Arabidopsis thaliana: one gene and its partners. The protein of the gene in region 4 purifies or fractionates together with the protein of the main gene of each other region. This does not show direct contact. Each region holds a gene or a part of one and is shown on either strand. Other genes may lie near its edges. The genes, in order: CPN60B, AT4G08140, Cpn60beta2 and PAA1.

Evidence for each region.
Region 1: the proteins of PAA1 (region 4) and CPN60B fractionate together in Arabidopsis thaliana (co-fractionation; one large-scale study listed by BioGRID). This does not show direct contact.
Region 2: the proteins of PAA1 (region 4) and AT4G08140 fractionate together in Arabidopsis thaliana (co-fractionation; one large-scale study listed by BioGRID). This does not show direct contact.
Region 3: the proteins of PAA1 (region 4) and Cpn60beta2 fractionate together in Arabidopsis thaliana (co-fractionation; one large-scale study listed by BioGRID). This does not show direct contact.

The regions. Positions count from the first base shown.
Region 1 is NC_003070.9:20,713,804-20,723,087, forward strand, and holds CPN60B (chaperonin 60 beta), read right to left. Parts: upstream 5,459-9,284; 5' UTR 5,266-5,458; exon of another isoform or gene 4,879-5,265; 5' UTR 4,871-4,878; coding exon 4,655-4,870; intron 4,557-4,654; coding exon 4,431-4,556; intron 4,352-4,430; coding exon 4,214-4,351; intron 4,132-4,213; coding exon 4,036-4,131; intron 3,952-4,035; coding exon 3,709-3,951; intron 3,594-3,708; coding exon 3,359-3,593; intron 3,272-3,358; coding exon 3,102-3,271; intron 3,014-3,101; coding exon 2,936-3,013; intron 2,849-2,935; coding exon 2,777-2,848; intron 2,695-2,776; coding exon 2,590-2,694; intron 2,516-2,589; coding exon 2,423-2,515; intron 2,336-2,422; coding exon 2,243-2,335; intron 2,151-2,242; coding exon 2,027-2,150; intron 1,928-2,026; coding exon 1,914-1,927; 3' UTR 1,760-1,913; downstream 1-1,759. Other genes in the region: ZKT (protein containing PDZ domain, a K-box domain, and a TPR region), read left to right, coding at 19-425, 514-620, 733-827, 915-991, 1,070-1,190, 1,260-1,319, 1,408-1,548; ECT4 (evolutionarily conserved C-terminal region 4), read left to right, coding at 5,944-5,971, 6,222-6,298, 6,376-6,520, 6,613-6,668, 6,767-7,288, 7,375-7,947, 8,031-8,243, 8,343-8,489 and 1 more. UniProt on the Arabidopsis thaliana protein: Binds RuBisCO small and large subunits and is implicated in the assembly of the enzyme oligomer. Involved in protein assisted folding. Required for proper plastid division.
Region 2 is NC_003075.7:5,132,323-5,138,346, reverse strand, and holds AT4G08140 (26S proteasome non-ATPase regulatory subunit-like protein), read right to left. Parts: upstream 2,675-6,024; coding exon 2,622-2,674; intron 2,487-2,621; coding exon 2,366-2,486; intron 2,288-2,365; coding exon 2,207-2,287; downstream 1-2,206.
Region 3 is NC_003074.8:4,386,253-4,395,252, forward strand, and holds Cpn60beta2 (TCP-1/cpn60 chaperonin family protein), read left to right. Parts: upstream 1-2,962; 5' UTR 2,963-3,112; intron 3,113-3,416; 5' UTR 3,417-3,432; coding exon 3,433-3,636; intron 3,637-3,718; coding exon 3,719-3,844; intron 3,845-3,928; coding exon 3,929-4,066; intron 4,067-4,147; coding exon 4,148-4,243; intron 4,244-4,334; coding exon 4,335-4,577; intron 4,578-4,650; coding exon 4,651-4,885; intron 4,886-5,002; coding exon 5,003-5,172; intron 5,173-5,264; coding exon 5,265-5,342; intron 5,343-5,433; coding exon 5,434-5,505; intron 5,506-5,589; coding exon 5,590-5,694; intron 5,695-5,775; coding exon 5,776-5,868; intron 5,869-5,951; coding exon 5,952-6,044; intron 6,045-6,135; coding exon 6,136-6,259; intron 6,260-6,358; coding exon 6,359-6,372; 3' UTR 6,373-6,763; downstream 6,764-9,000. Other genes in the region: ECT2 (evolutionarily conserved C-terminal region 2), read right to left, coding at 1-403, 530-1,096, 1,179-1,249, 1,345-1,492, 1,583-1,659, 1,941-1,968; AT3G13480 (nuclear polyadenylated RNA-binding protein), read right to left, coding at 6,932-6,989, 7,136-7,596.
Region 4 is NC_003076.8:13,762,550-13,770,672, reverse strand, and holds PAA1 (proteasome alpha subunit A1), read left to right. Parts: upstream 1-2,784; 5' UTR 2,785-2,904; coding exon 2,905-2,980; intron 2,981-3,055; coding exon 3,056-3,150; intron 3,151-3,307; coding exon 3,308-3,389; intron 3,390-3,476; coding exon 3,477-3,573; intron 3,574-3,712; coding exon 3,713-3,771; intron 3,772-3,915; coding exon 3,916-3,998; intron 3,999-4,741; coding exon 4,742-4,837; intron 4,838-5,014; coding exon 5,015-5,074; intron 5,075-5,163; coding exon 5,164-5,256; 3' UTR 5,257-5,597; downstream 5,598-8,123. Other genes in the region: HDA7 (histone deacetylase7), read left to right, coding at 79-221, 315-405, 511-552; AT5G35580 (Protein kinase superfamily protein), read right to left, coding at 6,822-7,658, 7,868-8,004, 8,088-8,123. UniProt on the Arabidopsis thaliana protein: The proteasome is a multicatalytic proteinase complex which is characterized by its ability to cleave peptides with Arg, Phe, Tyr, Leu, and Glu adjacent to the leaving group at neutral or slightly basic pH.

The DNA of each region.
Region 1 (9,284 bases), on a different chromosome or scaffold from region 4:
AAGAAAAAGAATCTCACCATGTCTTTAGCTCCGAGCAGTTATCCATCTCTGTATTCTTCGCCTTCACTGCCAAGAACCCAGCAAACCAAGCAAAACCCTAGTTTGATCACTCAATCCAGTTTCATTTCCGCCAAAAGTCTCTTCCTTTCGAGCAATTCGGCTTCTTTATGCAATACCCATGTTGCCAAACGCCGGAATTTAGCTTTGAAGGCGTCGGAGACAGAGTCTTCAGCTAAAGCTGAAGCAGGAGGAGACGGAGAAGAAGAAGAGAAGTATGAAACATATGAAATTGAAGTGGAGCAGCCTTATGGTTTGAAATTCAGGAAAGGAAGAGATGGTGGCACTTACATTGATGCTATCTTACCAGGTGGATCAGCTGACAAAACCGGAAAGTTCACTGTTGGCGATAGAGTTATTGCCACAAGGTTTGTTCTTTCTCCTTCATGTTCCAATGTGATTAGCTTGAGAGACTGTGAAAGTTTTGACTTGGAACTTTGAAAATTGAGAATGCAGTGCAGTATTTGGAACAGAGATTTGGCCTGCAGCTGAGTACGGTAGGACAATGTACACAATTCGTCAGAGAATTGGTCCCTTGCTTATGCAAATGGAGAAGAGAAATGGTTTGTTGAATTTCCCATATTCTAGCTCTGTTTTATTTTATCTATTCTCTCTGCAAAACTCATTATTGGGTTTGGTTATGTTTAAAATGTGTTGTGTCTTCTTCTCTTGCAGGTAAGGCTGAAGATACTGGTGAGTTAACAGAGAAGGAGATCATAAGAGCTGAGAGAAATGCCGGATACATTAGCAGTAGATTGAGAGAGATTCAGGTGAGCTCAAAAGTTTTGATTATGTGACATCAAAAGTAATGAACTTTGGCTTGTGAGTGAGCTTTGTTTTTGTTTTTATAATTGTAGATGCAAAACTATTTGAAGAAGAAAGAACAGAAAGCTCAACGGGAGAAGGATCTTCGTGAAGGGCTGCAATTTTCCAAGTAAATACTTAGTGAGTATACCAAAGGGGTTTATGGAAACCGGAAAGTGAGCATTGACATGTGTGTAATTTGATATAGGAATGGTAAGTATGAGGAAGCATTGGAGAGGTTTGAGTCGGTGTTAGGTTCTAAACCAACACCAGAAGAAGCATCAGTTGCAAGTTACAATGTTGCTTGTTGCTACTCAAAGCTTAATCAGGTAAAAAGCTTTTGAATCTTTTCAGATATTGCATTTTGACTTGCAGTGTTGATAGAGTTATTTTGATAGGTTCAAGCTGGTCTCTCGGCTCTGGAAGAAGCATTGAAGTCAGGATATGAAGATTTTAAGGTAAGTCCAAGGAGTTGTAATGTTTCAATTGAGACAGAGAGAAGGATGGACTTGTTTGTTGAAGCTGTGTTATTTGTTTTGTTTGCAGAGAATCAGAAGTGATCCAGATCTGGAAACTCTCAGGAAGTCGAAGGATTTCGATCCACTTCTGAAGCAATTCGACGAATCTTTCATCAATGAGAGTGCCATTAACGCCATCAAATCCTTGTTTGGCTTTAACAAGAAATAGTTCACCTAAAGTTTGTGTCTTTTGATGTGATCTGTTCATAGCTTCTCTTCTCTTCTTGGCTCTATACATACTTGTGAGGAATTTTATTCGATCATAAATGTGTTCTTTTTTTCTTAAGAAATTCTTTTAACCATTTCATTCAGTTTACGTATACCATTTCATATGAAGTGATAATAAATCTTCAAATCTTTGGATCAAAAGTTTCATATTTGGCGATTTCGAGATATTTCGAAGCATTGAGGGAATCATGATTTATTCATATGATGATTAATTCAAAATTTCAGTTTCACATTACACATTCTCTTGTTCAAAATCATTACACTCGCAAGCTAAAGTAATCCGTTTCAATATTAGCCTATCTCCTCTTAGTATCCATATCCTGAAATAAGAGAGGCCAACAAGATTCAGCAATGAAACATGAATATTGAATGCGGGGGATCTTTACCAAAGACTCAAGTATTTGAAATTCTGAACAAACCTGAGTTGTCCATTGGGTTGCCGACGGGAACTGGTTCAGGTTCCTTGATCTCAACAACAACGCAGTCCGACATCAAGAAAGTCTTTGCAACCGAAGCTGCGTGTTCCAAGCAACATCTCACAACCTAAAATCAAGATAAAGCCACTCAGGTTCATGGATCTTTGATGACCAATTTAGCTAGCAAAGACAGTTTCTGTATATGCACAGAAAACTTACCTTTGTTGGATCGATGATTCCTGCAGCCATCAAATCCTCGTACTTGCCGGTTGCAGCATTGTAACCGAATTTCACGTTATCGTTGGAAAGCACCTGCCAATGAATAGAGACATCTCTTCAAGCATCTGACTTGAAATCTAGAGATAAAAAAGTGGGAATTATGTTATCTGTTGTTATTACCTTCTCGCTAACTACACTTCCATTAACACCAGCATTCTTGGCGATTAGTTTTAGGGGGTAACTTAGTGCTCTTTTAACTATATCCGCTCCAACCTAAAGGGAATCATCAGCAAAGTTAGAGAAACCGAAGGTTCATGAGTTAAAATCTGAAGACTTGATTGATTTACCTTTTCTTCATCATTATCAAGCGTGGCTTTAATGGCATCAACCTTGGAAGCAAGACGAAGCAGAGTGCAACCACCACCAACAACAATACCTTCCTCGACAGCGGCCTGAAGAATTAAAATCCTGATTAGTTATAGTTCACGAGTATGCAAATAACACGCTTCTCAAGCCTCAGAAATACAAAATCACCTTTGTTGCATTAAGAGCATCTTCAACTCTCAACTTCTTCTCTTTGAGTTCTGTCTCAGTTTGTGCTCCAACCTTTAACCAATACATAACGAGCTTAACTTAATATCTCTGAAACACATCTTAATCAGACAAAGGAAACTTAAATAGTTTTTAGTTTACCTGAATCACAGCAACTCCACCAGAGAGCTTTGCAATTCTCTCATTGAGTTTCTCCTTCTCGTAATCTTGCTCCGCTTGCTGCACAAACCAATTACCATTGCAATGTAACTACACTATCCACAAAAAGTAAAAGAGGTCCCATATATGCTATACTCTTTTACTATACCTCAATAAGATTTTTAATCTGTGTAACACGCTTTTTCACTGCATCCTGTGTGCTTCCATCACCCACTATGGTCGAGGTCTCCTTTGTGAGGACAACCTTTGAAGCATTACCAAGAACCTCTTTTCCAGCTTTGTCAAGTGAAAGACCAACTTCCTCACGGATCACAGTTGCTGCAAGCGAAGATAGAAAATTAGGACAAGATAAAAACTACAAATATATGCGTAAACATAGGGCTCATCAATGCAGACAGAACTTACCTCCAGTTAGAATGGCAATATCATCAAGGTATTGGCTCTTGCGCTCTCCAAACCCTGGAGCTCTGAGAGCTGCTATCTTCAGTGTACCTCTAAGCTTGTTTACAACAAGAGTCGCTAAAGCTTCTTGTTCAATGTCTTCAGCAATAATTAATATTGGGTATCCGCCTCTAATTGCATCCTCCAAAACACCAACAAGATCCCTTGCATTGGTAATTTTCTTGTCAACGAGAAGTAACTGCAATCATACCAAAACATTAAAGATCGTTGTTATACTCATATATAAATATCTTTAGTGGCTAAATAGTCTGCCAACAAAATTCATCTTCTACTCAGATTCAAGAAACATCTACCTTGCAATTGTCGAACTCGACGGACATTTTCTCGCTGTCTGTCACAAAGTAAGGAGAGATATAACCACGGTCAAATTGCATTCCTTCTACGACGTAGAGGTTGTTCTCGGCACTTTTACCCTCCTCAAGGGTCACCACACCTTTCCTGCCCACTTTGCTCATTGCTTCAGCAATCATATTTCCAATTTCGTCGTTGTTACCCGCACTAACAGCTGCAACATCTGCAAGTTCACTGTCTTCAACCTACATCGACATGACTTACATTCAGAACCTTTTGAAAAAGACTCTTAACATATTAAAAGAAAGAGAGTTCTATAAATTTGAAACCTCCTTAGACATTTTCTTGAGCTCGGTAACCAAAGCCTTTGCTGTCTTCTCAATACCTCTGGTGATCAAAACAGGGTTTGCACCAGCAGCTACCACCTGAATAAGATAATCTTAAAATTAGTACAAAAGTTTTTGAAGTTTCACATAGAGAAAGCTGAAAGAAGAATGTTACACAGACCTTGACACCCTCAGCGATAAAACCTTGTGCAAGAACAACAGATGTTGTTGTACCGTCACCAGCCAAGTCATTGGTTTTGGCAGCCGCTTGCCTCACAAGCTTAGCGCCAATGTTCTCAACCGGGTCTTCCAACTCAACCTACAGGAGAAAGTTTGAAACTCTAAGACTCAGTTGAATGAGAACAAAAATCATTATCAGAGGGGTAATAATTCCATACCTCTCTTGCAACAGTCACACCATCATTAACAATTCGTGGTGATCCATACTTGCTCTCAAGAACAACATTTCGTCCTTTGGGTCCAAGTGTAACACCAACAAGATCTGCGAGCTTGTTGACACCAGCCTAGTACAACACAAAATTAGAAACCACAGAAAATGTAAACCTTTAGCTCCGGTTTGGGAATGAAGTTTCCATTAACTTTTTTTAAAAAAGATACTTACTTGAAGTCTCCTAATGGTAGTCCCATCTTTGTTGAAATGTAATTCCTTTGCTGCGCACACAATTGCAGAACTGGATCTTCTGGGTCTAGGACACACACTTTGTCTCCTTCCAAATGAGCTTGAAGACAACTTGCTGATAAGTTTCTTATCAGATTTGTGACCATTCGGAGCAACCATTGAACCAATAGAAGATGTGGCAGTGAAAGTTGACGCCATTTTATCCACTTCAAAGACAGACAAAATTCAGCACTTAGATAAGATTTCAAAGATATAAAAAAGACTCTTCTTTTCATCTATATACGGTTAACACAATCAATATAACAGAAAGAAACAACAACCCAGTAAGCTAAAGTAATAAATTTTCACAACAAACCAGAAGAAAGGCGACACCTTCGAAAGCAGAGCTCAATAAGAACACAATTGACAATCTGAAGAAACACTAATCCATAAATTTTATTACAAAACACCCAAAATCATGGAAGTAATGAACTAATACAAGTTTTCAAAAGCTTACAACAAATTCTTATCCAAACAAAACATACACACATAAACTGTGGCACTAAAAAATGCAGAGGATAAACTATTCCAAGAGTAAGGATTAAGAAACTAACAGAAGTAGAGAGATGACGAAGGAGGTTTTATCACCGGAAGTTTTTGGTTTCCGGATAAGAAAAGGGGAGCTGAAGCAAGGAAAGGAAGTAGGTTTATCTCCTTACTCTCGCTTGGAAGGTGCTTTTAACGTTCCCTTACCTCTTTCAAGCTTTGAGTTAATCTTGGCCGTTGGATTCAACTCTTCGGATCCTGGATCAGATTTATATTGGGCCTATTTGGGCCTTTATTCTTGCTCCTTAATTCCTAACAATGGAATTGGAATCAGTGATATTTATTTTAAAAATTGATTTTTTCCCGATTAATTGCGAAATTTTCGAGGAAATAATATTTATAGTATTATTTTGTGAGATATTTCGTAGTGACTAGTATAATATTAATGTGGCTGGAATAAAGGAAGTATTTTAAAAAAAAAACGATGGAGAAAAAGGTAAACAAAAATAATAGAAAAATATAAAAAAGGGATCTTGGAGGTATTTGAATCAAATCGAGGTGAACGAACAAAACCACTTTTGCCTCTTCCTCTTCTTCTCTCTTCTCTTGCGGCTACGATTCAATCTCTTAAACCCTAGATTCCTTCTGAGTTCTTTTTTGCTCTGATATTTGTGTTTGTCTCAAACTCTTATTGTTCAATATCCGACAAGGATCTATTATCAGTCTTCGCTGCCAACTCTGTTCTCATGTCTACTGTTGCTCCTCCTGCTGATCGTATCCTTTGCCTTTGTTTCTTTTCTCCTTCATTTCTTTTGTGATCTACGTTCATGAATCTAGTTGCTTCATCGTAATTCGATTCATATAGTGAAATGATGTCATTTCCATTTGTTCTGTTTGTTTTAGCTCGATGAATTTGACTGTTCCTGTAGCTAGCAAAGTGAATAAATTGATTAGAAAAATCAATTTTTTAGTCTTGCTGAAGATAGAAACCTATTTGTTTCCTTCACTTACATTGTTTTTTCAGAAGCTGCTGATGTATTGAAGAAACTGTCTTTAGATTCAAAGTCTAGGACTTTGGAGATCCCTGAGCCTACTAAGAAGGTAAAGTTACATCTTTTAATGTCTCTGCACATTTTGTTACTCCAAGCAGAGTTCTCATAGCATCATTATCTTTGCAGACGGGTGTTTACCAGTATGGAGCTATGGATTCGAATGGTCAAGTTCCTTCTTTTGATCGATCTTTGTCACCTATGCTACCCAGTGATGCCTTGGATCCTTCTGTTTTCTATGTTCCTAATGTGTATCAGCAGCCCTACTATTATGGTGATAATTAAGTTTCATTTATATATCTTCAGCCTTCTACTGTCTAGAATTATTGTAATATCTATAACACAACCGTTTGTATAATCTTTCAGGTTATGGGAGTGACTACACAGGTTATACCAATTCCGAGAGTGTTGATATGACATCAGTACGTGCGTTAATATTTTCTTATAAGCAACTCGTGTCCAGACTATTTAGCCTCTCTTTTACCTTTTGCCCTACTTAGTCATTTGGTAATCACTCCAGGGAGCTTACGGAGAGAATGCATCTCTTGTTTATCCGCAGGGATACGGGTATGCTGCCTTTCCTTACTCACCAGCAACAAGCCCTGCTCCACAACTTGGTGGTGATGGACAGTTGTATGGTGCTCAGCAGTACCAGTATCCTTTTCCTCTCACAGCCAGTAGTGGGCCTTTCGCTTCGTCTGTTCCTGCCTCTACTCAGAGCAAGCTCTCTACAAACAAAGCAGCCAACTCTGCATCTGCTGGTATCCCTAAAGGAATGAATGGATCAGCTCCTGTTAAACCATTGAATCAGAGTGCACTGTATGGAAACAGTGCTCTTGGAGGTGGTCTTGCTGCTGGTTATCAGGACCCCAGGTATAGCTATGATGGGTTTTACACTCCTGTGTCATGGCACGATGGCTCTAACTTCTCAGATGTGCAGAGGTCTGTTTCTGGCAGTGGAGTTGCATCCTCATATTCTAAGGCTAACAACAATGTACCTGCGACTAGGAATCAAAACTCTAGCTCCAATTCGCATTACACGGTATGATATGGAAGTCAGTTTTGTATGATAAGTCTTCTTCTCTATCTGAATCCCTGTATCTGATAGCCTCATTCTATTCTTGGCAGAGTATGTACCAGCCTGCATCCATGACAGGTTATGCAGCTCAGGGTTACTACGACAGAGTGTCTCCAAACAAGTCATATGGTCAGTATGGTAGCACGGTGAGGTCTGGTATGGGTTATGGTTCTTCTGGATATGGTTCAAGAACAAATGAAAGAGGATGGCTCAATACAGACAACAAATATAGAAGCCGGGGAAGGGGTAACAGTTACTTCTATGGAAATGAGAACATTGATGGCTTGAATGAACTAAACAGGGGCCCTAGAGCCAAGGGCACGAAGGCCACAGAAGAGGTTAGCTCAGAGGAGGTGAAAAAGCAGACGTTTGATGAATCAAATACTGAGGAGACTGTAACATGCGTTCTTCCAGATAGAGAAGAGTGCAACAGAGACGATTTTCCAGTTGAGTATAAAGATGCTAAGTTCTTTATCATCAAGTCGTACAGTGAAGATGATGTGCATAAGAGCATCAAATATAATGTATGGGCTAGCACCCCAAATGGAAACAAGAAGCTTGATGCTGCATATCAAGAGGCTCAGCAGAAATCTAGTGGCTGCCCTGTGTTTCTCTTCTTCTCGGTTTGTACCTAATTCTTAGTTTATTTCATATTGTGTATTCGTTTTGTTTCCCGATGCTGAGTATATACCCCAATTGTCTCCAGGTCAACGCGAGTGGACAATTTATTGGCCTTGCGGAAATGAAAGGACCAGTTGATTTCAACAAAAATATTGAGTACTGGCAACAGGATAAATGGACTGGCTCATTTCCCCTCAAGTGGCATATTCTGAAGGATGTTCCCAACAGTTTGCTTAAGCATATTACTCTAGAGTACAATGAGAATAAACCTGTTACTAACAGTAGAGACACACAAGAGGTAAGTGTTTATATCTTCTCGATCTATATGTTTCTGATCTACCAGCAATATTTTCCACTTTTCAATGTTCAAACTCTTTCCATGTGATCATGTATGTAGGTTAAGTTGGAGCAGGGTTTGAAGGTTGTAAAGATTTTCAAGGAGCATAACAGCAAGACATGCATTTTGGATGATTTCTCGTTCTACGAGGCTCGACAAAAGACTATTTTGGAGAAGAAAGCTAAGCAGCAACAATCCCAGAAGCAGGCAAGAGAAGAAAACGGTTAATTCCATAGATATAAGCAGATGCATTTACATTTGTCCTCTCTACTCTCTAGTATTGAAATGCACCCATATATCTTTAACAGGTCTGGGAAGGAAAAACCAATGATGAGAAACCAGGAACTGTTGATTCTACCATGTAAAATGCGTATAAAGATCCCTGCATACGGTGGGAAGATGAAGAAGTAGTGAAAGATAAAATCAGGGTTGGGTTTGTTTTCGTTTTAGCTTAGACAGATTTTCATTTTTCTTTGGTTTCTGGTTCGGACATGACTCTGTTGAGTCTTTTCTTAATTTCTTCTAGATTTTGCTTTCAATCTGAAAATTTAGTATCTTCTTTCCTTCTCCATTTCTCCTCTGTTTCCAAGTTTTCAAAACCTAAAAGGCTGATTGGACAAGGATAACACATCCAATTAAAATGTTATGTTTTTGTTAATACTCTATAAACCTTTGTAGTTAGACCATTAATTTTTGTGTGAAACTCGCATAAAATGAGTTAGTTGCAACTTGCAAGAGAAAGATATCGATTCGTGTCGGATCCACAGTGACAGGAGTATCGGAGCTTGAGTCACGGAGCTAGGAGGGTATGGACGGAAACTAGGAAATCGTTGAATCTATATGCATAATTTCTTAAAATATGAACAATGAGTTTATATATGTTAACAACCATATTAATTTATACAGGTTTTACTACATCATTTAAAGTATGAGGGTAAATGAGTATATTTTAGACAATTACAATTTTTGTAAGAATCATCTGCATTTAAATTCATCTGATTT
Region 2 (6,024 bases), on a different chromosome or scaffold from region 4:
AGTTGAGACAATAGTATTGTGTGGTCTCAAACACAAAAGAACAAAACACAAAACTAGTGGTGTGGGTACAAAAAAAACAAAACACAAAACTAGTGGTGTGTGTACAAAAGAACAAAACACAAAACGAGTTAATTGATGTCGATAAGAAGCTTTGTCCACCACCTAGTCAATTGATGTCGGTAAGAAGCCTTGTCCACCACCTGCAAACACAAACAATATAAGCCAACATTCATTAATACTAGTTAAATTGAAAATGAAATTCAACATTACAAACACATAAACCGAAACAAAACAAACACAAATACTTAAAACAAACACAAGAGCATGAAATTGAATACATTACAAACCACATGGACTTTGCTGCAAACTCATGTAACCGCAAACACAAACAATATAAGCCAACATTCATTAATACTAACTAAACTGAAACTGAAATTCAACATTACAAACACATAAACTGAAACAAAACAAACACAACTACTTAAAACAAACAAAGAGCATGAAACGGAACACATTACAAACCACATTACATAAACTGAACACATTAATAACTTAATTCAATAGATCAGAGATTAGCTTGTTCTTAAGAGTTATCTCTATGTCAGTTAGAGGCTCAGTTTTGGCAAAGATTTGTTCAAGCAATTTAGTCAGACCAATATTCTCTTCTCTTCTCTTCTTTGTTAATTAGCTTCTCTCTCGCCGCCAAATCTTTCTCCTTAATATCCCAAATAAGTTGTAACTCTTTCAGATTGTCACCAGACGCACTACTCGGCTTGGCTTGGAATTTGGTATTAGCTGCCTTAACTCCAGGGGAACGAATTTTGCTTTGGCTTTGGTTCTCTTCAATGCCAGCTGGAACACAGACACTTTCTTCTCTTTGTTGTTCTTTGCACTTTCTTCTCTTTGCTGTTCCTGTTGTAGGAAACTCACTTAACCAGTTCTGCTCATAGCGAACCGCACTCCAAGCATGTTCAAGGGTGAAATTGGCGCCATAGTCCTCGTAGAAAATCTGATGAGCCAAGTTCACCAAATCATCATCATTTTGGCCACTTGTTTGGTGTTTGGTTGCAGGCATAAAGCTTCCCACATACTTGTTCACACCCTCATTTATTTTTGCAAATTTCTGTTTACAGCATAATGTGCTTCTTTTTCAAAAACCTTTGAGCTTCTGACTTGTAGCAAAATAATCAGTTATGCGTTGCCAGAAGGTTCTAGACTTTTGCCCGTTGGAAACAACATGATCCTTGGACGTGTTCAGCCAGCTAGTTATCAGGACCAAATCTTCTATTAGAGACCATTTGCGTCTTGATTTCCTCTCTGCAATTGGCGCTTCATCTTTCTCTTGATCATCAAACCAATGTACTAAACACATGGACATCAGATGATCCAAGTTCTATGTTAGGTGGAAAACGTTCAAACTGAATTGGTGGAATGGTTTGATTCTCTTGAAAGATGATTAGGGAAAGATTTAAAGGAATCCATAACCTTGTTTGGTTTGGTTGTTAAAAAGATAAGAGAAAGATTTTTCAGCTTGAAGTTATGTGATTTAAACTGTGTTTTTCAGCTTGAAGTTATGTTGTTAAATAGATGCGGTTTTAGAAGCTTCAAGTTAGGGTAGGGTGTTAAGTTAAAGCTCTTTGATATTGATCACAGAGAGCAATAAATCACATAGAGCTTTTACTTACACTTAACCTACCAAGCATTCAATAAAATAGACCATAACTATGATAATACTTTTACCCAATGTAAACCACTCCAAAATACACTAGTTAACATGCATTTATCACAGTTAAAAAACAGTTAGCTTTTATTGCTTAGACCAATTCAGAGAAATTTTGAGCGCAATAACTAAGAGAGAGCTTTTAAAAGCTTCAAGTTAGTATTAGGTGTTAGAATTTTTTTTTTTTTTTTTTTTTTTTTGATCAAAGGTGTTAGAATTTTATTTAACCATAGAGAACAAATACTTTCTTCTAAGCATTTAAAATATTAATGTAATGCTATCTCAACTCAAAAATATATTGCATTTAAACAGAGAAACAAATAAACTAATCAAAAGCAGACAACAAATAATCAAAACCGGACATCAAATAATCAAAAGCAGACATCAACTAATCAAAAGCAGACATCAAATAATCACATATCAAAAGCAAAATCAACAAATCAAACTCAGACAACAACTACTAGATGAATTAAAGAAGGCTCAGTTCTACCTTCGTGTTATCAAGAAATAGTGCAATCTGTAGAGCGTGGTAAGGGCCAGGACAGACAGGATATCAGAAATGTACTTCTGCAAACATAGCAAATGTAATTTTTAAGCCATACCAATATAAGAATTGTTAATAACTTGAAATCAATGATGACATACCTTGAGATTAGAATCAGCCATTGTTTCATGAAACGCTTTAAGAGTTACATACTGGGGACGCAGAAACTTTAGTGGTTTGGGAACTGAAGTCATTGAACTTGTTAAAGCTCGGATTTCCTGCCTACAAAACCAAAAAAAAATTAAAAACTCCAACAAGGGTAGAACACAAGGAGCAGAAAAGAAAGAAAAACTTTATAAATTATGAGCTTCAAAGACAGTAATCTGAAAACCCGAAGCTAATCAAGTCAAGAATTACCTCATACTCTCAAGAGCAGCCTTCTGCAAGTCCGGATTAGGATCCTGAACCATCTCAACATAGAGCTTAAGGTTCTGCTTTAGTTCCAAATCCTCTTAAGACTACAATCACAACCCAATGTAAGTCGAGTCATTAGTCCTGTGAACATATATAAAAAAAAAAACTCTCCTCACAGCACAAGTTAGCAACTTTTTAATCCGGCTATACTAATGACGAACAAAACATTCACTTTGAACATGCTTATTGTTTTGTTTTTGTATATCTCCTTATGCTTTGTAAAACCACGTACAATACTGTAATTGATATGTTCTCGTAATAAGAAAAGAATACGAACCCACTTAGTCTTCATAATTAGATTCATCATATCGAATCAAAGATGAAAAGATTTATTACAAAAATAAACCAAATTAAAACCGATAAATAAGTTTTTTTCTACTATAGACACAACATTCCAATTGCCATGGTGATTGAACAACCATAGGAAAAAACGATTATCATCTTCATTTCTTCTCTCTTTGTTCTTTTCCATCCTCTCTTTGTTCATTTCCATCTTCATCATTCTAACTTCCTCTTTGTAACGCCCGTGAACCGGAAAATCAGTTAGAGTTTGTTTTTAAATCATCCGGTTTAATTGATTGGGTTAATTGGAAACCTTAGAGTATGCCTATAAAAGAAGTAAACTCGAAATTAGGGCTTTGGTTAGCCACTTTTCGTTTTATAAAGGAGAAAAAGAGAGAAAAGGAGAACGAGCAGAATCGTTAGGGTTTGGGAGAAATCAGTTTCGTCATATCAAATCGTGGTAAAAGGTAACGAAATTTGGCAGAGTTATTCCCAAGTCCTTTATCGTTATTCTCCAATTTACAGAATTGGATTTGGATTCAAATTGGTTGAGTTATTCGCAGTTTCGTGAGACACGTTTTCTCAGACGCGAATTAGGACCAGCGGAGATTGAAACTGAGATCGTGGTCTCGTCTGTTTTCCGATCGGCACGAGATTTTGTGGTCAGCTTTGTGACGTCTGCAGCTAGGATTTCACCGGAGAGATTGAATAGTTAACGGTTAGTTTGTATTTGAGGGTTTCGTCTTTGAGACTGCTTGTTTCTGGTTTTTCCTGTCCAGTTTGCTTCAAGGTTGCTTTTGGTTGTGGACTTTTTGTAGGACGTTTCTGGACTGTTTCAGACGCAAGGAGAGTCTCTCCTGGGTTTAATTGCTATTAGAATCAATTTGTTAAGGTGAGTGCGTGACCATGAGCTTATCTGAGCGATAGGGTTGTGTGATTTGTTTTGTGTGATGATATGTAGGTGTGGTGAATGTGTTTTGGATGAATTGTTCAATGACTGGTTTGTTTGTATTGTATTCGTGATTATACCTTTTTATTTGCTTGTGTGTATAGCTCGTAGATGGGAGGATCGCCTCACTAAGTATTTATGATAATACTTACGCATCTCATTGTGTTGTTGATACAGGTAAAGATAAAGTGTGATCGTGGAATCATGGCAAGGAAGAGAGGATGATCTAGGAACTCGTTTGTTTTATTTTTGGTGTTTTTGGTTATTGGAACCCGGTTAGGATTGTTAGTTATTCTTGGTTTTGTTGGTCGAATTATTTATTTATTCATTAAATAGTATTTTTGACTTGTGGTTTAATTGTTATTCTATTGGTTGGTTTAATTAGATATTTATGGAAATATTTAATTATTTTTTTTAAAAAAAATGGGTCGGGTTGTTTCAATTTGGTATCAGAGCGATTACGGTTCTAAGATGTGTAGAAAAATTAATTGATGAATTATTTTCCTGTTGATTGATGTGGGATGAGCTAGGGTGTTAGCATATTGAGGATTGATTATGGAGTGTTTAGTCAATTGTGTGTTGTTGGAGTTCTAGCATCATCTTCTCCAAGCCTTAAATGAGATTCCACGGTAAGTTGTTTGTGATATATTCGTTTGTTTTAGTTTCTTAGCCATTTGTTTTTGAGTAGCGCAGATGGTTAGAGGAGCTGGAGTTCGTGGTCGTGGTCGCGGTCGTGGTCGCGGTAGGGGACGAGTCCTCGAGGGTACCGGCGAGAGTGATGGCCACAGTGCCACAGTTGAGCAGAGTGGGTTCGCAACCTGAGTTTGTGGAGCCCGGGGTTAGGAACGGTCTTGGTGCCGATATAGCTGGTGCAACCGGAGTGGGGGCTGGTGGTGTCGGTACCGGTGTGCATGCCGTTGGTGCTGAGGGCCCAGGAGTGATGTGTGCCGCAGCCGGAGGAGCCCAGGTTCCAAAGGTTGGTTTGGCGGGCCTTGTGAGGCAGTTGTTGGAGCGGTTACCAGGTTTGGTACCAGTGGAGGCTCCAGTTGCGCCACGAGCGGCGGAGGTGCAGCAGCGGGCTGCGGTTGCTGAGAAGGTTCCATCTTATTTGGGGATGATGGAGCAGTTGCAGAGGATTGGCACCGGTTATTTTTCTGGTGGTACTAGTCCTGAGGAGGCCGACAATTGGAGGTCGCGGGTTGAGCGGAACTTCGGTTCAAGCAGATGCTCGGCGGAGTATCGGGTAGATCTAGCAGTGCATTTTCTAGAGGGGGATGCACATTTGTGGTGGCGGAGTGTGACTGCCAGGAGGAGGCAGGCGGATATGTCTTGGGCAGATTTCGTGGCTTAGTTTAATGCCAAGTACTTTCCGCAGGAGGCGCTCGACCGTATGGAGGCGCATTTTCTTGAGCTGATACAGGGTGAAGGAGGACCTTCAGAGGTAGGAGGGGGGAGTGAGTCCAGCGGTACAACCGAAGAAGACTCAGCAGCAGGTGGCACCTAGCAAGGGCAGCAAGCCTGCGCAGGGGCAGAAGAGGAAGTGGGATCATCCTTCCAGAGCTGGACAGGGTGGTCGTGCAGGATGTTTTTCTTGTGGGAGCCTTGACCACAAGGTGGTGGATTGCACGCAGCGAGCTGAGACGAGGGAGTGCTACCACTGCAGGGAGAGGGGACATCTCATGCCGAATTGTCCTAAGGTGCAGCGGATGGCAGTGGCAGTGGTACAGCCGGCGGTGCAGCACGGAGCGCAGGTGCAGCAGGGAGTGCAGCAGTTGGCACATATTGCAGCGGCACCGCAGGGTTACACTATGCGTGAGATAGGCGGTACTAGCAACAGAGCGATTACTGGTATGATTTCTGAGACTCAGACTTTGTGAAATATTTCTGTTGTTTTGGATATCATTATTTTGTGATGAATGTTAGGGTTCTTAGCACATGAGGTTTGTGTAGGGACCTTATTAGTGGGCGGTGTAGAGGCCCATGTGTTGTTTGACTCTGGAGCATCGTATTTTTTCATTACCCCGGAGAGTGCCTCGCGCGGCAACATCCGTGGGGATCCTGGTGAGCAGCTTGGAGCCGTCAAGGTTGCTGGAGGGCAGTTTCTAGCGGTTCTGG
Region 3 (9,000 bases), on a different chromosome or scaffold from region 4:
TATTGTACTGTTCTCTGTCAGGAACAACACATGTGTTATCCGCCTCCCCAACCTCAGTTACATTTGATTCTCCAGTCTGCTCCTTAACCTCTAAGCTATCATCTAGATTTCCCTTCTGGTTCTTTGTGCCCTTAGCTCTAGGTCCCCTGTTAAGTTCATTCAAACCATCTACATTGTTCTCATTTCCGTAATAGTAACTGTTACCCCTGCCCCAGCTTCTGTATTTGTTGTCTGTGGCCGCCCATCCTCTTCCATTTGTTCTTGAATCATACCCAGATGAACCATAACCCAAAGCAGATCTCCCTGTGCTACCATACTGACCATATAACTTGTTCTGATACATCCTGTTGTAGTACCCCTGAGCTGTACCATAGCCAGTCACTGATGAAGGCTGGTGCACGCTCTGCAAAGAAAAAAGTTGATTGAAGGTCAGTTAACAAATTTGGAAGACTTGAGCGGCTATATATATATGCCAGTAAAGCAGACAATGGTGTTCATTAGCAAAAAGAAGTTTGGAAAGACATCATACCGTGTAGTGAGAATTTGAGCGGTAGTTTTGATTCCTCGATGAAGGTACTGTGCTAGACTTAGAATAGGAGGATGCAACTCCACTACCAGAAACAGGTCTCTGCACATCAGAGTACTTAGAGCCATCGTGCCACGGCACAGGAGCATAATACCCTTCATAGGCATACCTGGGGTCCTGATAACCAGCAGCCAAACCTCCTCCTGGAGCACCCATACCATACAAATTACTTGAGGTGTTAAGGGTAGCCTGGTTAGTTGGTTTCACTGGAGCTGATCCATTACTTCCTTTTGTGATACCAGCAGCAGAAGCAACATTATTGCTATCCGCAGGTAGTGTCTTCACACCAGCAGGTTTGTTTGCAGAGAGATCCGGCTGGGTAGGTGTAGCCACAGATGAAGCATACGGTCCACTGTTTGGAAAATAGTTAGGATACTGATACTGCTGAGCACCGTACAACTGCCCTTCCCCGCCAAGCTGTGGAGCAGGGCTAGTTGCTGGCGAGTAAGGATACGCTGCATACCCATAACCCTGAGGATACACAACAGTCCCATTCTCTCCATAAATTCCCTGGTAAAATATTGAACCTGTTAAGCAAAGAAAATATAAAGACGATGAAAGGCACTATTATAACTAGTCAGCACACACTTACAGAATTCATGTCAACACCCTCAGGATTTGTGTAAGCTGGGTAGTCAGTCCACTCTTGACCACTCCCATATACTGAAAAGTTACAAAACGAAAAACTTGTTAAACCAGTGGTGACAATTTAGTGAAATAATGTTTCTAGATTGTAAATGATTTGAGGATGAAGCTACCATTGTAATACTGGTAGGGATTGTAAGGATTAGGAACATAGCAAACTGAAGGGTCAGCAGCATCACTGGGAAGCATTGGTGTCAAAGATCGATCATAAGAAGGAACTTGACCATGAACATCAACGCCTCCATACTGGTAGACGGCAGTCTACACAAGACACAAAACAAAAGCGTTAAAAAAAACTGGAAGAAGCAAAAGTTGTGACAACAGAAAACCAAAATTCAATCTGCAAATCACCTTCTTGTTAGGCTCAGGGATCTCTGAAGCTTTTGCTGGCGAGTCCAAGGATAGTTTCTGCAACAGATCTGTAGCTTCTACAAACAAGGTGAGTCAAGGAAGCAAAGAATTACACAATTAACCATTAGAATAGTGGAAAGCAAACATTCTCAAATCAATCAAACTCGCCACAAATGAATCGATTTGAATCAATATAGAAACCTAACAATCGAGAAATATATTGAGAAACCCGAAACTGAATCTAGGCAATATCAAATATATCTGAACAAGACTCAAAATCAGCTCACTGGATTCAAGATCCAACAGATTCAAGATCGAGAAATCAAAACACAGATCGAGAAACATAAAGAAAGGATACGATCAGCAGGAGGAGCAACGGTAGCCATGAGAGGAGATTCGACAAACAAAGATTTGGATAGATCCTTCTCGGATAAAAGGGGATGCGACCAAAGAGAAAGAAGAAGAAGAAGAAAAAAAAGAAGATAGAGAAACCCTAAATGGAATCAGGAAAAACCCAGATCAAATCTAGGGTTTAAGAGATAGAATAGAAGAGAGAAAGAAGAAAAAAATGGCCGCAGCCGCCAAGAAGGAGAAGGGTTTTGCTTCGGGGAAGAGGAAAAAAAGGGTTTTGTCTCTCTACCTCTCCCTCTGATTCAAATAGATCCACTAATCAACCACCTCACCTTCTCTCTTTTTTTTTTCTTTCTTTTTTTTTTTTTTTCTTCCACCTTAAGATATTTCCTCTTTTGTTTTAAAAGAAGACTATAGACCGTGTGGTTTTGGTTATTTTTCCTGCAAAATCTGGATAATATACTTTTCCATTTTCTTAAAATTGGTAATCTTGTAATAAAATAGATATAAATCTCAATTCTGTTACCAAAATATAATTCAAAAGTAAATTTGGTCAAATTTAAAAGCAAAAGAGGGCATGCTTTCTATTATAGGTGTGTTTCTTCTATAAATTTACCCCAATATACATTGAAATATCTTTAAAAATATATATTAAACTTTTTTGTTTTGAGCAACTATTTAAAAACTAAAAGCAAATCATTAAGATAAAACCAAAGAAAGTAAAATCTATTTTTCAGAGAAACTTACCAAAACTAGCTATTCAAGAAAATATACTTTACCTTTAGGATAAAAGGAAGTAAATTACCTTAGCTTAAAAAAGCTATTATTAAATAAAAACATTTTAAGATCGAGAGTATGTAATGGGCCTATTTGATTAAAGATTCATAAACAGGCCCAAATCACCAAACAAGGCCACCGGAAATAAACCCATGATCCGATTACCCATCCGACGTTCTAGAGAGTTCTAATGAGAAAACAATGAAGAGTACATCCAACGGCTAAGATTAGCTCGAAGTTTCAAGAGCTAAAGGCTCATATCGCCTTTATATTCAAAGAAAAAATTATCAGTAGCAAGTGCATTCTTCATTTCGTCATTGGAGAAACCTACTTCTTCCTCCTTATCCGGAATAAACCTCTTCGGCGCCATCTCTCTCCTCACCTCCGTCGTTCCACCGTCCGGTGAGTGTCACTTTTCCCATCAATTGAGCTCACAATGTTGGCGCCTATGTAATTGTGTGTGTCGATTGATTGTTTTGTTAGAATTGGAATTAACAAGTATTACTAGTAGCTGAGAAAAAGTATGTTACCTTGTTTTCGTGTTCCCGGAGATTTGTGGCTATTGGTGTAGTTGTGGTTTTGAGTATTTGGGGATTGAGCTCTGATTTTGAAATTCATCTGTTTTTTGTTTTTTGTTGCCAGTTTTAATTGGTTAGTACTTTTGGTGAATCTTTCGTTTTATGTGAACTGTTGGATTGATTTTCAGTGTTTGAGAAGTGAAAATGGCATCGACATTCACTGCCACGTCTTCCCTTGGTTCGTTGCTTGCTCCCAATGCTATCAAGTTGTCTTCTGCGACTAGCATCTCTTCAAGCTCGTTTGGAAGGAGACATAACGTGTGCGTCAGAAGATCCCGTCCTGCCATAGTATGTGCAGCCAAGGAGTTGCATTTCAATAAGGATGGGACTACCATAAGGAAACTTCAGGTGAGAATTAATGAATTGATTTTCTGGAGTAATGATTAGGATTCGTTTTATTTTTGGTTTCTGATTACTCGTTTGTTATTAGACTGGTGTTAACAAGCTCGCGGACCTTGTTGGTGTCACACTTGGACCAAAAGGGAGAAATGTTGTTCTTGAGAGCAAGTATGGATCCCCAAGAATTGTTAATGATGGTGTCACTGTTGCGAGGGAGGTATGAAATTTATTGTCTGTTTAACCAATTATGTTCCTTTCGTTTTTAATTACTTCTCTAAGCTTAAGGTTTTCTTCTGCTTAGGTCGAGTTGGAGGACCCGGTTGAGAACATTGGTGCAAAGCTTGTAAGGCAAGCAGCTGCAAAGACCAATGACTTGGCTGGTGACGGTACAACAACATCTGTTGTTCTTGCACAAGGTTTTATTGCTGAGGGTGTCAAGGTTGTTACATTCTTCTTTCAGCTTTCTCTGATTTTATACTCAGAAGAACAGTATATTAATCTGAAATTTTGTATTTTTCAGGTGGTGGCTGCAGGTGCGAACCCTGTATTGATCACTAGGGGGATTGAGAAGACTGCAAAGGCTTTGGTTAACGAGCTGAAACTTATGTCTAAGGAGGTAAGTAACTATTATGCTAAAACTTCCTTCTTCTTAATTTTTCGAGAGTCTATAGCAAGATGGTCTAAAGGTTATGTCATTGGAAATATAGGTTGAAGACAGTGAACTTGCTGATGTGGCAGCTGTTAGTGCGGGTAATAACCACGAAGTTGGAAGTATGATTGCTGAAGCAATGAGCAAAGTGGGCAGGAAGGGTGTGGTGACCCTGGAGGAGGGAAAAAGCGCTGAGAACAACCTTTATGTTGTGGAAGGAATGCAATTTGACCGTGGTTATATCTCCCCATACTTTGTGACAGACAGTGAGAAAATGTCTGTTGAGTATGACAATTGCAAGGTAATTTTTCTTTATTCTGAGCTACCAAAATGATATTGTGATGCAAATAGCCTAACAAGTTTCTACTGTGCAGTTGCTTCTTGTTGACAAGAAAGTAACCAATGCAAGGGATCTTGTTGGGGTTCTAGAGGATGCGATTAGAGGCGGATACCCAATCCTCATAATTGCAGAAGATATTGAACAAGAAGCCTTAGCTACTCTTGTTGTTAACAAGCTTAGAGGCACACTGAAGATTGCAGCTCTCAAAGCTCCTGGATTTGGAGAGCGCAAGAGCCAATACCTTGACGATATTGCCATTCTAACTGGAGGTAGGTCATGTTTTTATAACAAAAAACCTATATGTGGGTATCAATCAATGTGCCCTCCTGATTTGGAATCATTTGGCTGTTAAAACCTTACCGTGTTGCTTCTGTTTTTGTGTGCAGCAACTGTGATCAGAGAGGAAGTTGGTCTTTCTCTTGACAAAGCTGGAAAAGAGGTTCTGGGTAACGCTTCCAAGGTTGTCCTGACAAAGGAAATGACAACAATTGTGGGTGATGGGACCACACAAGAAGCAGTGAACAAGCGTGTTGTACAGATTAGGAATCTTATTGAGGTATATGTTTGAGTCAAACCGCATAAGAGTCTGTGACAGCTACTTTTTTTTGTATAAAGTTTGTTTATGCTAATACAACTGCGGTTGTGCAGCAAGCGGAGCAAGACTACGAGAAGGAAAAATTAAATGAGAGAATTGCGAAGCTCTCTGGTGGAGTTGCTGTAATTCAGGTAAAATAGTAATCACATGGACTTTCTTGGATTTGTATGATAGAAGAATAAGTTAAGTGATCTAATTAAAGTTTTTACATCTTGGTTAAAGGTTGGAGCTCAAACTGAGACAGAGCTCAAAGAAAAGAAGCTGAGAGTGGAAGATGCTCTTAATGCTACAAAGGTGATTTTCTTTATCCAGCTGATGGGGTTATAGGTATCGTGCTACTCATGTATATCTTAATTATATGACCTCATTGAGTTTCAGGCTGCTGTTGAGGAAGGTATTGTCGTTGGTGGTGGTTGCACTCTGCTCCGGCTTGCATCAAAGGTCGATGCCATCAAGGATACCCTTGAAAATGATGAAGAAAAGGTGATTGGCAAAATCAAGAATTTTGAAATTTTTTGCAAATTGCTTGCTCTTACTGCATTTTCAACTATTTCCCATCTCTAGGTTGGAGCGGAAATTGTTAAAAGAGCACTGAGTTACCCTCTGAAATTGATAGCTAAGAATGCTGGTGTTAATGGAAGTGTTGTCAGCGAGAAGGTTATAACAACATAAGAACATCCATGCTTATTCAGCTCTTGATCTACGTAAGTTGCTTAAAAAGCTGTATTTATTTATTGCAGGTGCTGGCTAACGATAATGTGAAATTTGGATACAATGCTGCAACCGGCAAGTATGAAGACCTGATGGCTGCAGGCATCATCGACCCGACAAAGGTCAGTTTCTCACATACACTCCCTCACTCTGTTTTGCTATCCCATCTGATCGCAAAATATCCAATGAACCTGAGTGGATTTTTGTTTTCAGGTTGTGAGATGTTGCTTAGAACATGCCGCCTCAGTTGCAAAGACGTTCTTGATGTCTGACTGTGTGGTTGTTGAGATCCCAGAGCCAGAGCCAGTTCCTGCTGGTAACCCAATGGACAACTCAGGTTAGTCCAGACCTTCTGATTCATAAAAACTGGACAGTGACATCAAAACAAAACTCATGTTTCTTCATCACTGAATCTTTCTCGATTGTCTTGTTTCAGGTTATGGATACTAAGATAGACCGACCAGGTTTGCTCGTAAAGCTGAGAGATAGGCAAAATTCCGAAGCGAGAGTAGCTCACTGGGATACGGATTCCTTTAGCTTGCAAACAAATTTTCTGTGCAAGTGTAGTGATTTTTGAACCAGAGAATAATGTGTTCACTAGATATCATATTTGAAATCATTTTGAATAACTTGTCAGTGATCTTCAAAATCTTGAGTGCTCTTAATAACACCATCTTATATACATGCTAAAGCTGAGGGAACTTAGATAGAATGCAAAAAGTGTACTTTAAATTTAAAAGCTTCTTGAATCTGACTAAGAAAGAACTTCATTAACTGGTTAAGTAAACAAGTGTAATATAAAGCAATTCTTTTAACAACTCTAAAACCGTAAACACTGAATCGACAATCGACATATAACCTCAGGTGAGCAAAAGTGGATTCTACTATATGTACCTCAATGTAGATGGATTCTAAATCCAAAGCCACAAGCTGAACAGAGCCAATTCTCAAGCAAGCTTCTTCACCCTTCACCATTGCCATATCTTCCGGTAAAACTAAGCCGAGTTGATCACAGAATAACACAAACACAGCTTTGATCGCCATCATATCTAACATCTTCTTCTTCACTGCAAATATAACAGGGATTCAGACAAATGTCAATCAACTAATTCTCAAAGTTAGCATCTTTTGAAGCCTGAATTGATCAAAGATTCAAACTTCATACCAAGAAACCTAAGAAAAACAAAGATTCAAACTTCATAGAAGACAGTACCTAGACTCGAATTCTCGGATCTCAGCAAGTTCTTTCCCCATCAAATCCACCCACTGTACTTTCTTCTTCTCCTTTCTCCCACCATCTGCTGAATCTAAGACCTCCTTCTTGAGACTGCTTTTCAAGATTTCCCCATTACTAAGACTTTCTTCTTCTTCCTTTTTTCCCTCTAGAGCACAATCTTCTTCTCTAACAACCTCAGTCAACAAACCATCAACATGATCAACAACAACTTCTTCTTCTTCTACATGTGCATCATCATCATCATTGTCATCATGGTCACGATCATCAACAACCGTAGTCGAAGAAGACACTTGAGGAAAAGTATTCTCCAATTTGAGAGAACCAGAAGCGTAGATATGAGGAGAAGGCTTACAGAAACAGATGAAAGAAGGGCACTGGATCTTACACAGCAAAACCCTCATCAAAACATATGTTGGGTCTTTAAAACACCCGATCATCAAATTCCAAACTTTCCCTCTTTTCTCTTTATAAAGTTACAACCTTTTCATGCCCATTGAGATGCCCAGATTGGACTCAAAAAGCTTCGAGGATTTCAATCTCTGGATTTCTGAAACAAAAAAAAAAAAAAAAAAAAAGAGCAACAAAAGGTTTTCGAGGAAGAGTTAATAACCACAATATATAATATCACACTTCAATAGAATCCAAAGACCATAAATTAAGCGTTGATCAGATGAGGAAGCAGACAAAAGTACAGGGACCACGCAATGCTAATATTACTAATTGAGAAAGAACAGATTCCACAATTGAGAACAATCAGCCATGGCCATTAAAGAAAAAAAAAAGAGGAAATTGAGAGAAAGGCATTTACTTTTTTATGAATTTGTGTTGTGTGAGAGACAAAAGAGTGACTGACCAAGTTTTTAAGAATTTATGAAAAAGTGTTTGCTTCTTTTTCTCTGAGAAGAAGATAAAGTAGTTAGTCTTCGAATTTTGCTTTTTCAATGCCTTTAAAGGTGAAGTCTTTTTTTAACTAATTAGATTAACTGTTCCCTCGCTTAATCTTATATATTGGATTCTGTTTGTTGTTAGGATATCATATATATTTATTTTCTAATATTTTTTATCTGTTAGATAATTATTGAGAAGATTATGTGTTTTGTTAAAAAAAATTAGTTACGTATATAGTTAATTATATATTTTTTTAAATATTACTATGCTGCAGAATTTTTAAGTTCATAATTGTAATTAAATTATATTACTTTTATGTCTACCACTAACACATGCTTTCAAGTTTAAACTTGGTTATGACAGTACTGAGATCACCAGTACAAACCATTAACTTATAAATTTTGTTTGAAAATCATCTACTTATAGGATTAAACTTATACATTTATTTAGATATGAACTGTGTGTAGAGAACTTATATGTATCAGCAATAATCTTGCAAATCTTAATATTTAATTGGACAAATCTAAATGATTAATGTTAATGGAATAAGTCACACGAAGTTTCCACGTGAATGAAAGTATTTATCAAAAATTAATAATTTCTATATATTTTGTATCGTTGACAAATCCAGATATGATCTAATACTGTAATTTTTTTTATGAATGATGTAATCTATTAGATGCACGAAGTTTCTGCAAATCCCAAATGGATATATACACATAGGTATGTCAATTAATATAGAGAATAATGACGCGACATAGGATGCTTCTGAGTTCTGACATATTATTTCGAGATCAATCAAACTCAAAAGACATACAGCTTGTCTCACACATGTGTGAGATTTTGCTTATTATTGTGCATGCATCATCAATCATTTATAAATTGGTCGGATACATTCAACAAGTTACCTCATCGACATCTAAAGCTAAAACCCACAAACATTATTTCCACTC
Region 4 (8,123 bases):
TCCTTTGTAACTTGGACTTTGTGTTTTTCATATTCATGCAATTCTTTGTTCTGAAAAAGTGCTTTTTAATTGTTGCAGACGGCGATTGCGGTTGGAGAACAACTTGACAATGATCTCCCAGGCAATGATTACATGAAGTATTTTCGTCCAGATTACAAGCTTCATATATTGCCAACCAACAGGCAGAATTTAAACACACGATTAGATATTATAACAATGAGGTAACCTTTTAAAAAGGCTGATCAGTTTGGTGCCAATATAGTTGAGATGTTTACAACTTTTGCTTTCTAAACCTCTTTGTAAATCCATTATAGGGAAACTTTACTAGCGCAACTTTCTCTAGTAATGCACGCACCTAGTGTACCGTTTCAAGACACTCCATCAAGCAGTCAAGCCACTGAAGCGGTAAAATCTTTATTCATTCGTTCATTACTACTTTATCTTTCTCATTACTGGATATGTTTTAATTTGTCCAATGAGGTTATTAAGATTCGCATGACATATCTTTAGGCGGAAGTGGACATGGAGAAGAGAAATGATCCACGCATTTGAGTGCAATCCAAGTTATGAACCAGACTCTAACAACGATTAGCATTTTCTTGGATAAGGCAAATGGTAAAGTAGTGTCATAGGAGAAGGATTCTTCATATTCAAATTTCACCTTTTTCTGAGTTTGTTCTTAGAGCATGTACAGAAAAGAACGATTGATGTATAAAATCAACATTGTAGAGATACTACAATAACATTCAAATATTATAGAAAGCAACAGATTTTTGTTGACAAAAGTCTCCACAAATTACATATAAGGCACATTCTGCAACAATTCAATGTAAGAAAGAGAGAACAAATGCATGGTAAGTTACAACTAATGATATCTATATCTATATGCAGCCTGTTCAACTAGGAAAAATCAACAATTACACACATGGAATTTTTCATTGTGATAAGAAATCAGATTCTTTAGTCCCTTAGTCAATAAAATAATCACGAACCAGCAAAGTATATGACTCAACAACAAGAGTCCTGATATTGCATATCCCAAGACCATAAACTCATCACATAATATATGCTAATTATTACCGAAAAATGAGCTTCTTAATGCCTAAAATTCTGATTTGAACTTGGCTCGTACGCTCATAATTTAAAGCTCAGCCAAGAACATCATGATAGCCAACAGAGATGCATACACTTTCTTGAATTAAAATCCCAGATCACAATGAAGTAAAGTTATCTAAGTAAAATTTAATTATTTTCAAAAAAAAACAATATTCATGGCTTTTGTTCATCATTCCTTTCTTGAATCAAAAGGTTATATATTTGATGAGAGTAAAGAACAGAATAATGATACAATATACATTCTCTTATATAGAGATGAGATTTCCTAATCAAAGATAAAACCTAAATGTAAATCATATATATTTGATAAATGTAAATATTACTAAAACTAAGATATGATAATATTTTAGATCCTTCTGCAATCTTCATGATTTCCATATTCTTGGGCGATCATCTCAACCATCAATGATTGATTTCCAGTTTCCCCAATAAAAGTAGCTTTAATTCAAATCATAATAGGATAATCAGTTCTTAAATACTTTGGAAAAATATATGGATAAAATCAGAAAAATAAACCTCTTTCAAATAGGAATAAGAAAAAAAATAGGAATTAATCATTTTGATTTTCTAGTTGATGTATTGATCATATAGTTGAGTATTCTTATAATGTAAATTAGCCGATCAAGATTTAAATATACTTTTTAAACGTTTCTTTTTAAGCTGATTAGGTTTTAGAAATTCTAGGGGAATTAGTTTCATGAGTTTTTATAATTTTGTTTTGCAAATATTGTTCAAAAATCAAAAATCATTAAAAATCTGAAAACATATTTATGGCCTAAAGGCTAAAAGTTGGATATAATTTATTTATTTTCGGTTGGATATATTTTGCTTAGTTTTATCCCGTGTGTATTTTTTCCTTATTTATATATAGTAAACGAGAACGTAGACAGAACAGAGTTGGGATGGAGACAAAGAAGAGAAGAAGAAGAAGAAGGAGATGATTTTCTTAACAGATGATCTATGGGCAATTATACTTGCGAGATTACCACTAACAATCATCACCACTTCAAAACTAGTTTGCAAGCAATGAAATCGCTCATAGAATCTCCCTTTTTCCGCAAACTTTTCAACACCCACCATCAAAACTCTCATTCTTCATGGTCAATCCTCTGTAGAGTCCTACCTGAAGAAGTCGTGGCTCACTACGAAAGCGAGACTTGGGGTCTTTCACGATCTCTAGGTTCTTACATTTCTTCTTTCATAACCCACAAATTCAATACTCAATTCCCATACGTTACACTCGTCGTGGCTTACACTCATGTTGGATTGATTTTGATCAGTTCTTGCAACAAATTACTAACTTACTATGTGGCTAATCCGATCTCAAGACAATGTGTCGATAATATATCACTAAAATTTTCTTCAAAAGTTTCTCTAAACTGTATTACAATGTTTTCACAAACTTTCATCGATACCTAAATAGTTTATATCTTTATTTTCATAAAAATTTGTGATTAAAAATAAAATTCGTTAGAAATTAGAAATTTTATTAATCTTTGTAATAAGAAAGTAAACTTATAACAATTTTAAAGTATCTTTTTAATATTTTCCATTTTAATTTTAGTTAAATACATATTTTTCTTCCTATATGATTGATTGCATCTTAAATCGCATATCTTAAAGTGGCAGAAGAGTAAATAAAGTGGTCATCAAAGGGCAAAATAGTAAAAACACCACCTCGACTCTTTTTTTCTTCTGTCTTGGACATAAAGCTTGATTCAATTCCATTCCTTATTGTTATATACACATCTCTGATTCAACTCCACCGAATTCAGAAGATCGAAGAAGATGAGTAGAGGAAGCGGCGCTGGTTATGATCGTCACATCACTATCTTCTCACCGGAAGGTCGTCTCTTTCAAGTTGGTCAGTACTCTCCGATTCCCACTCTCAATTCCTTTTCGAGCTCTGAAAACTGAATACACACTTTTGCTTTTGTAGAATATGCCTTCAAGGCCGTGAAAACAGCTGGTATTACTTCAATCGGAGTTCGTGGGAAAGATTCGGTTTGCGTCGTTACCCAGAAGAAAGTTCCTGTGAGTGAATCTCTCTTTTCATTGTCTCTCGTTTTTTTTAGGGTTTGCAAAAAAGTTGCGTCTTTTATTGAACCATTGTATGGATTTAGGTTTCTAGTAGATTGAGGATTGTTGGTGTATCTTACCCATTAGGGTTTTTGTTTTTGGGTTGGGACAGGACAAGCTTTTGGATCAGTCTAGTGTTACACATCTGTTCCCTATCACCAAGTACATTGGATTGGTAGCTACTGGCATTACAGGTTCGTTTCATGACCCTTTTATCTCCTCTTAAGCTGTAGAATTTATTGCTATGGATGGTAATTTGAACATGTGAATTTCGTTTTCAGCTGATGCAAGGTCTTTGGTTCAACAAGCAAGGAATCAAGCAGCTGAATTTCGGTTCACTTATGGATATGAGATGCCTGTTGACATTCTTGCTAAATGGTATCGTTGCTAATCGACTTGGTGTCTCTTTTTTCAGATGGTTCTTTAACTTCTTAGTGGAGGCTGGCTTATAGTTATTGATCTATCTAGCTCTTCTGTGATAAATGGTGTTGCTGATAAATAACTATTTTACTTACAGGATAGCGGACAAGTCACAGGTCTACACTCAACATGCTTACATGAGACCCCTTGGAGTTGGCAAGTTTGCTATCTTTTTCTTTTCTTAAGACCAATCTAGACATTAGTGCCTACTTGTGTTTGATGCGTATTATATCACCTTCACGTTTTGATGAATATTATTGGCTGACAAAAGGAATTTTCTTGTTGTCTCTCTTTATGAAGTCGCTATGGTAATGGGTGTTGATGAAGAGAATGGTCCCTTACTTTACAAATGTGACCCAGCTGGACATTTTTACGGTCACAAGGTATTATCTATCACTCGTAGCTTATACTTTAACTAAACTTGTCTTCTAATACTTACTGTTTTGATTGCTTTTGCTGGCCTGCATCAAGATTTATTGATAACATATCTGAATAATATCGTCTTACAAGCATATTGACATACACTACACACTATTTACTGCTTGTCACTAACATAGAAGAAAATGCCTCAGTCTATAAGTCATTGTGATAAGCATAAACGAAAAAAGTATAATATGACTATAGGAGTGAGTTAGTCATAATTGCGGAGAGTTTTGGTCATTTGGGTTGTTTGTGGTAAGCCTTTCAGACTTTGGGATAGGTTTGGGTACTCTATAAGATAGCATAACTCTCACTTTAGTTCTTTGTATCCGGTTGCTCCTGGGTTCATTAGTTTACTTGTTTTCATTTGTAGATTTACAGAGAAGAATAAAGGAAACTTTTTCAATCCTGTCTTTCTCATTTCGCTGATCTTAACACTTTTTAGGAATCTTATGTATAAAGGTTTTTAAGCATCGTGCTCATTTCTACTTTTAGTAACTGATTGATCCTAGGTTGAAACAAAACACGTTTTGTGTATCTATTCAATGACATGACTACATACAGGTTACACATGAGTCTTCTGGACTATATGACCAAGATCTCTAGAGGATAGGATATACAAAAAAATTATTCTCTCTCTCAAAAGTCGTAGATATTTCATGTTAATTGAAAAGCAGCTAATAGACAAGCAACTGTATTCGTGCAGGCAACTAGTGCTGGTATGAAGGAACAAGAAGCAGTCAATTTCTTGGAGAAGAAAATGAAAGAAAACCCATCTTTCACATTTGATGAAACCGTGCAGGTAAATTATTTGCATTATCTTTCATATTTTCCCTGCTTATGTTCGAATACGGTAACATATGTTCATTTAGCTGCTGATTACTTGTGCTGTTACTTTGTAGATACAAATCTATTAATATTCTTGATGAAGTACCAAATGCACATTGTTCCTCACGTTGATATTTTTATACGTTTGTAGACTGCCATATCGGCTTTGCAATCTGTTCTTCAAGAAGACTTCAAGGCTACTGAGATTGAGGTATACAAAACTCTTCTCGTATATGATGGCAAGTTTATTGTATCATTTGTGGGTTATATATCTTATCAAACCGTTTGGTGAAATGATAGGTAGGTGTGGTGAGAGCAGAGAACCCGGAATTCCGTGCATTGACAACGGAGGAGATTGAGGAGCATTTGACAGCCATTAGTGAACGAGACTGATCAACTTAGTGAAACAAGTGTGAGTTACGTTGCTTCGCTTCTATCAGACATTCCTCTAAAGTGACCACTCTCCATCGATCTTTTGTTTGGTCTTCCTTCCATAATTTAATTTACTTAGTCAACCCAGCAAACTTGAAAAACAAAAATGCACTGTAATGCTTAAGGCTGTGAGAGTTTCCGAGTCTTTTGACTCTTCAGAAATGACACCAACTTTACTCATATCATCACTTTCTAGCTTTTTATTTCTATCGTTGCAGTTGCTGTGTCTTCGTCTTCACCAGTTCTTAAACTCGAATTCGTTTTAAGGTTTCAGTTGTTAGAAAGTGAGGGATCATTCTTACCTTTCAACAAAAAAGGTTTAGGTTATGGATTCCAATTTTTTAGGATCAGTCAAAAATTTTAGGATCAGTCAAATTTTTTTTACATCGGCATAATGCTTAGGGCTGGGCATAAAATCCAAAAATTGATCAAAAATCCGGCTCCGAAACCAAACCGAACCGAATAGTCACAAAATCCGAATACATAATGGATATTCCTATCTGAATTATCCGAAACAAATCCGATCCGAACCAAAAATTGAACGGATATCCGCTAATCCTAAATAAAATTATATATCTAAAAATATTAGTTATAATTTATATCCAAAAAATACTAAATAGCAAAAATATCCGAAATAACTTTACTGTCCGATTTTTTTACTTTTATTTGTTAAAATTATACAATGTTTTGCAAAATTAAACCAAATTTTAGTAAAATTAAACGATTTTTATTAAAATTGTACAATTTTTTAATTTGTTTTTTTTTTAAATCAAAAACTGATCCGAAACCGTTCCGAATCTAACACCATCCGAACCGAAACCGAATTCGAATAATCATATAATCCGAACGGATAATAAACTCCCTCATCCTAATTATCCGAATCTAAAATAACCCGAACCAAATCCGCTCCAAAATCCGAAATTTTCATTATTAATGCTTGCAACACCCAAAATCACTCCTAGATAAACTTACTTGAGCCTAGTTGAAGGCCTATAGGCTATATGAGATGATCATTTTGCCCTGTGGCCTCTTAAACTTTAATGTCAATTATTTACAAAAGGAAAGTAAAGTGATCCTGAAAACTATCAATTAAAAAGTGAAGTATGTGTACATCATATAGGTTCGTGTCAAGCATTACAGACATAATGATTGTAAGTTTAGATAGTACTTTATCAAACTCCAGCTGTTAGAGACGTGGATGACTTAAAAAACATATAGACGAGTGATCTATAACGCGTCTTTCTATAACACCAAATGTATTTTTTTCTTTTCTTTAGGACCAAAAGTTATTACAACTTGATTAGAAAAACAACAATATGTTTAACACTTTTGCTTTCTTTGATTGAAGAATCAAACAAGGAAAAAAAAATCAACTTTACCTCTAACCAAAACCTATTCTAGGTATAGAAAGCAAAACCTAAACTAGATTTTTTTTGTTTTTTTGGTGGTAAGAATGTATTACTATTTACATCTTATGTAAAAAAAATGAAAAGATTACGAATTGAGGATAGAAGAGAACTCAGTAGTCAGTACCGTTCCCCTCCGGCCTCGTTACGCATTGGTGAATTATATCCGTTTCTCAAAGTTATCCGGTGGTTTCTTGCCGTGTGTGCGGGCGACCGGAACTTTTGATGGTTATCAGTCGTGGAAACGTTGCGAGGCTTGTCGAAGTTTTGAAGACTTGTCTCTTTAACTTCACGGCGTGTTTTGTCGAAGTTTTGAAGACTTGTCTCTTTAACTTCACGGCGTGTTTTGTCGAAGTTTTGAAGACTTGTATCTTTAACTTCACGGCGTGTTTTGTCGAAGTTTTGAAGACTTGTCACTTTAGTTTCACGGCGTGGCTTGTCAAAGTTTTGAAGACTTGTCTCTTTAACTTCCCGGCGTGGCTTGGTAGGAACGGTGTAAGTGAATATCCCAATGGGAATATCATCTTTGTAATCTTTGATGTCTTGGAGAACGGAGACAACAGTGCTAATGTCTGGCCTTGTCTTTGGTCGGTACCTTAGGCATTGATAAGCTAGAGTTGCTGCCTTTCGTGCTCCGGTCTCTGAGTACTGATCTTCAAGCCTCGGGTCCATTATTCTCCCGAGTTTACGTGCGTCGTTGAGCATTGGACGAGCCCACTCAACGAGGGTTTCTTTTCTTGATGATCTCGCTATGTCCACCGATTTCCGACCTGTCAACAGCTCAAGCAACACCACTCCAAAGCTGTACACATCACTCTTAGCCGTTAAATGACCTGTCATTATGTACTCTGGCGCCGCGTACCCTTGTGTGCCCATCACGCGAGTCGACACATGTGTATCATCGCCTTGTGGTCCGTCTTTTGCTAGCCCGAAGTCCGAGAGTTTCGCTGTATAATCCTGAAAAAAGAAATCAAAACATCAAAAGTCTATTCAAATCCAAAAGCAATTATAATTTTGAATGGTGACCATGGATGTAATTTGCGGTTCCACCATAATTTGAATAGAAAGAAACAAATATGTCCATTTTAGGTTATTGTCCGCTCTAAAACTAAAATGGTCTAGTTTGGTGTAACCCTTAAGATCAAAAAAGAAGAATGCTTGCTTACAGAATCTAACAAGATATTAGAGGCCTTGAAATCGCGATAGATGATGGGCTTCTCGGCTTCATGTAGAAACTGTAGACCCTTTGCAGCTTCATAAGCGATGTTCAACCTCGTTGTCCATGGCAGCGGTAGGGAGCACCCTGAAACAATTTCATCAGTTCTGGTTCTTAAAATGAAATGATCATTTCTATTTGATGGTTACAATAAAAAAAAGTCAACTCACTTCTGAAGAGTTGAGACTCCAAACTTCCACGAGGCA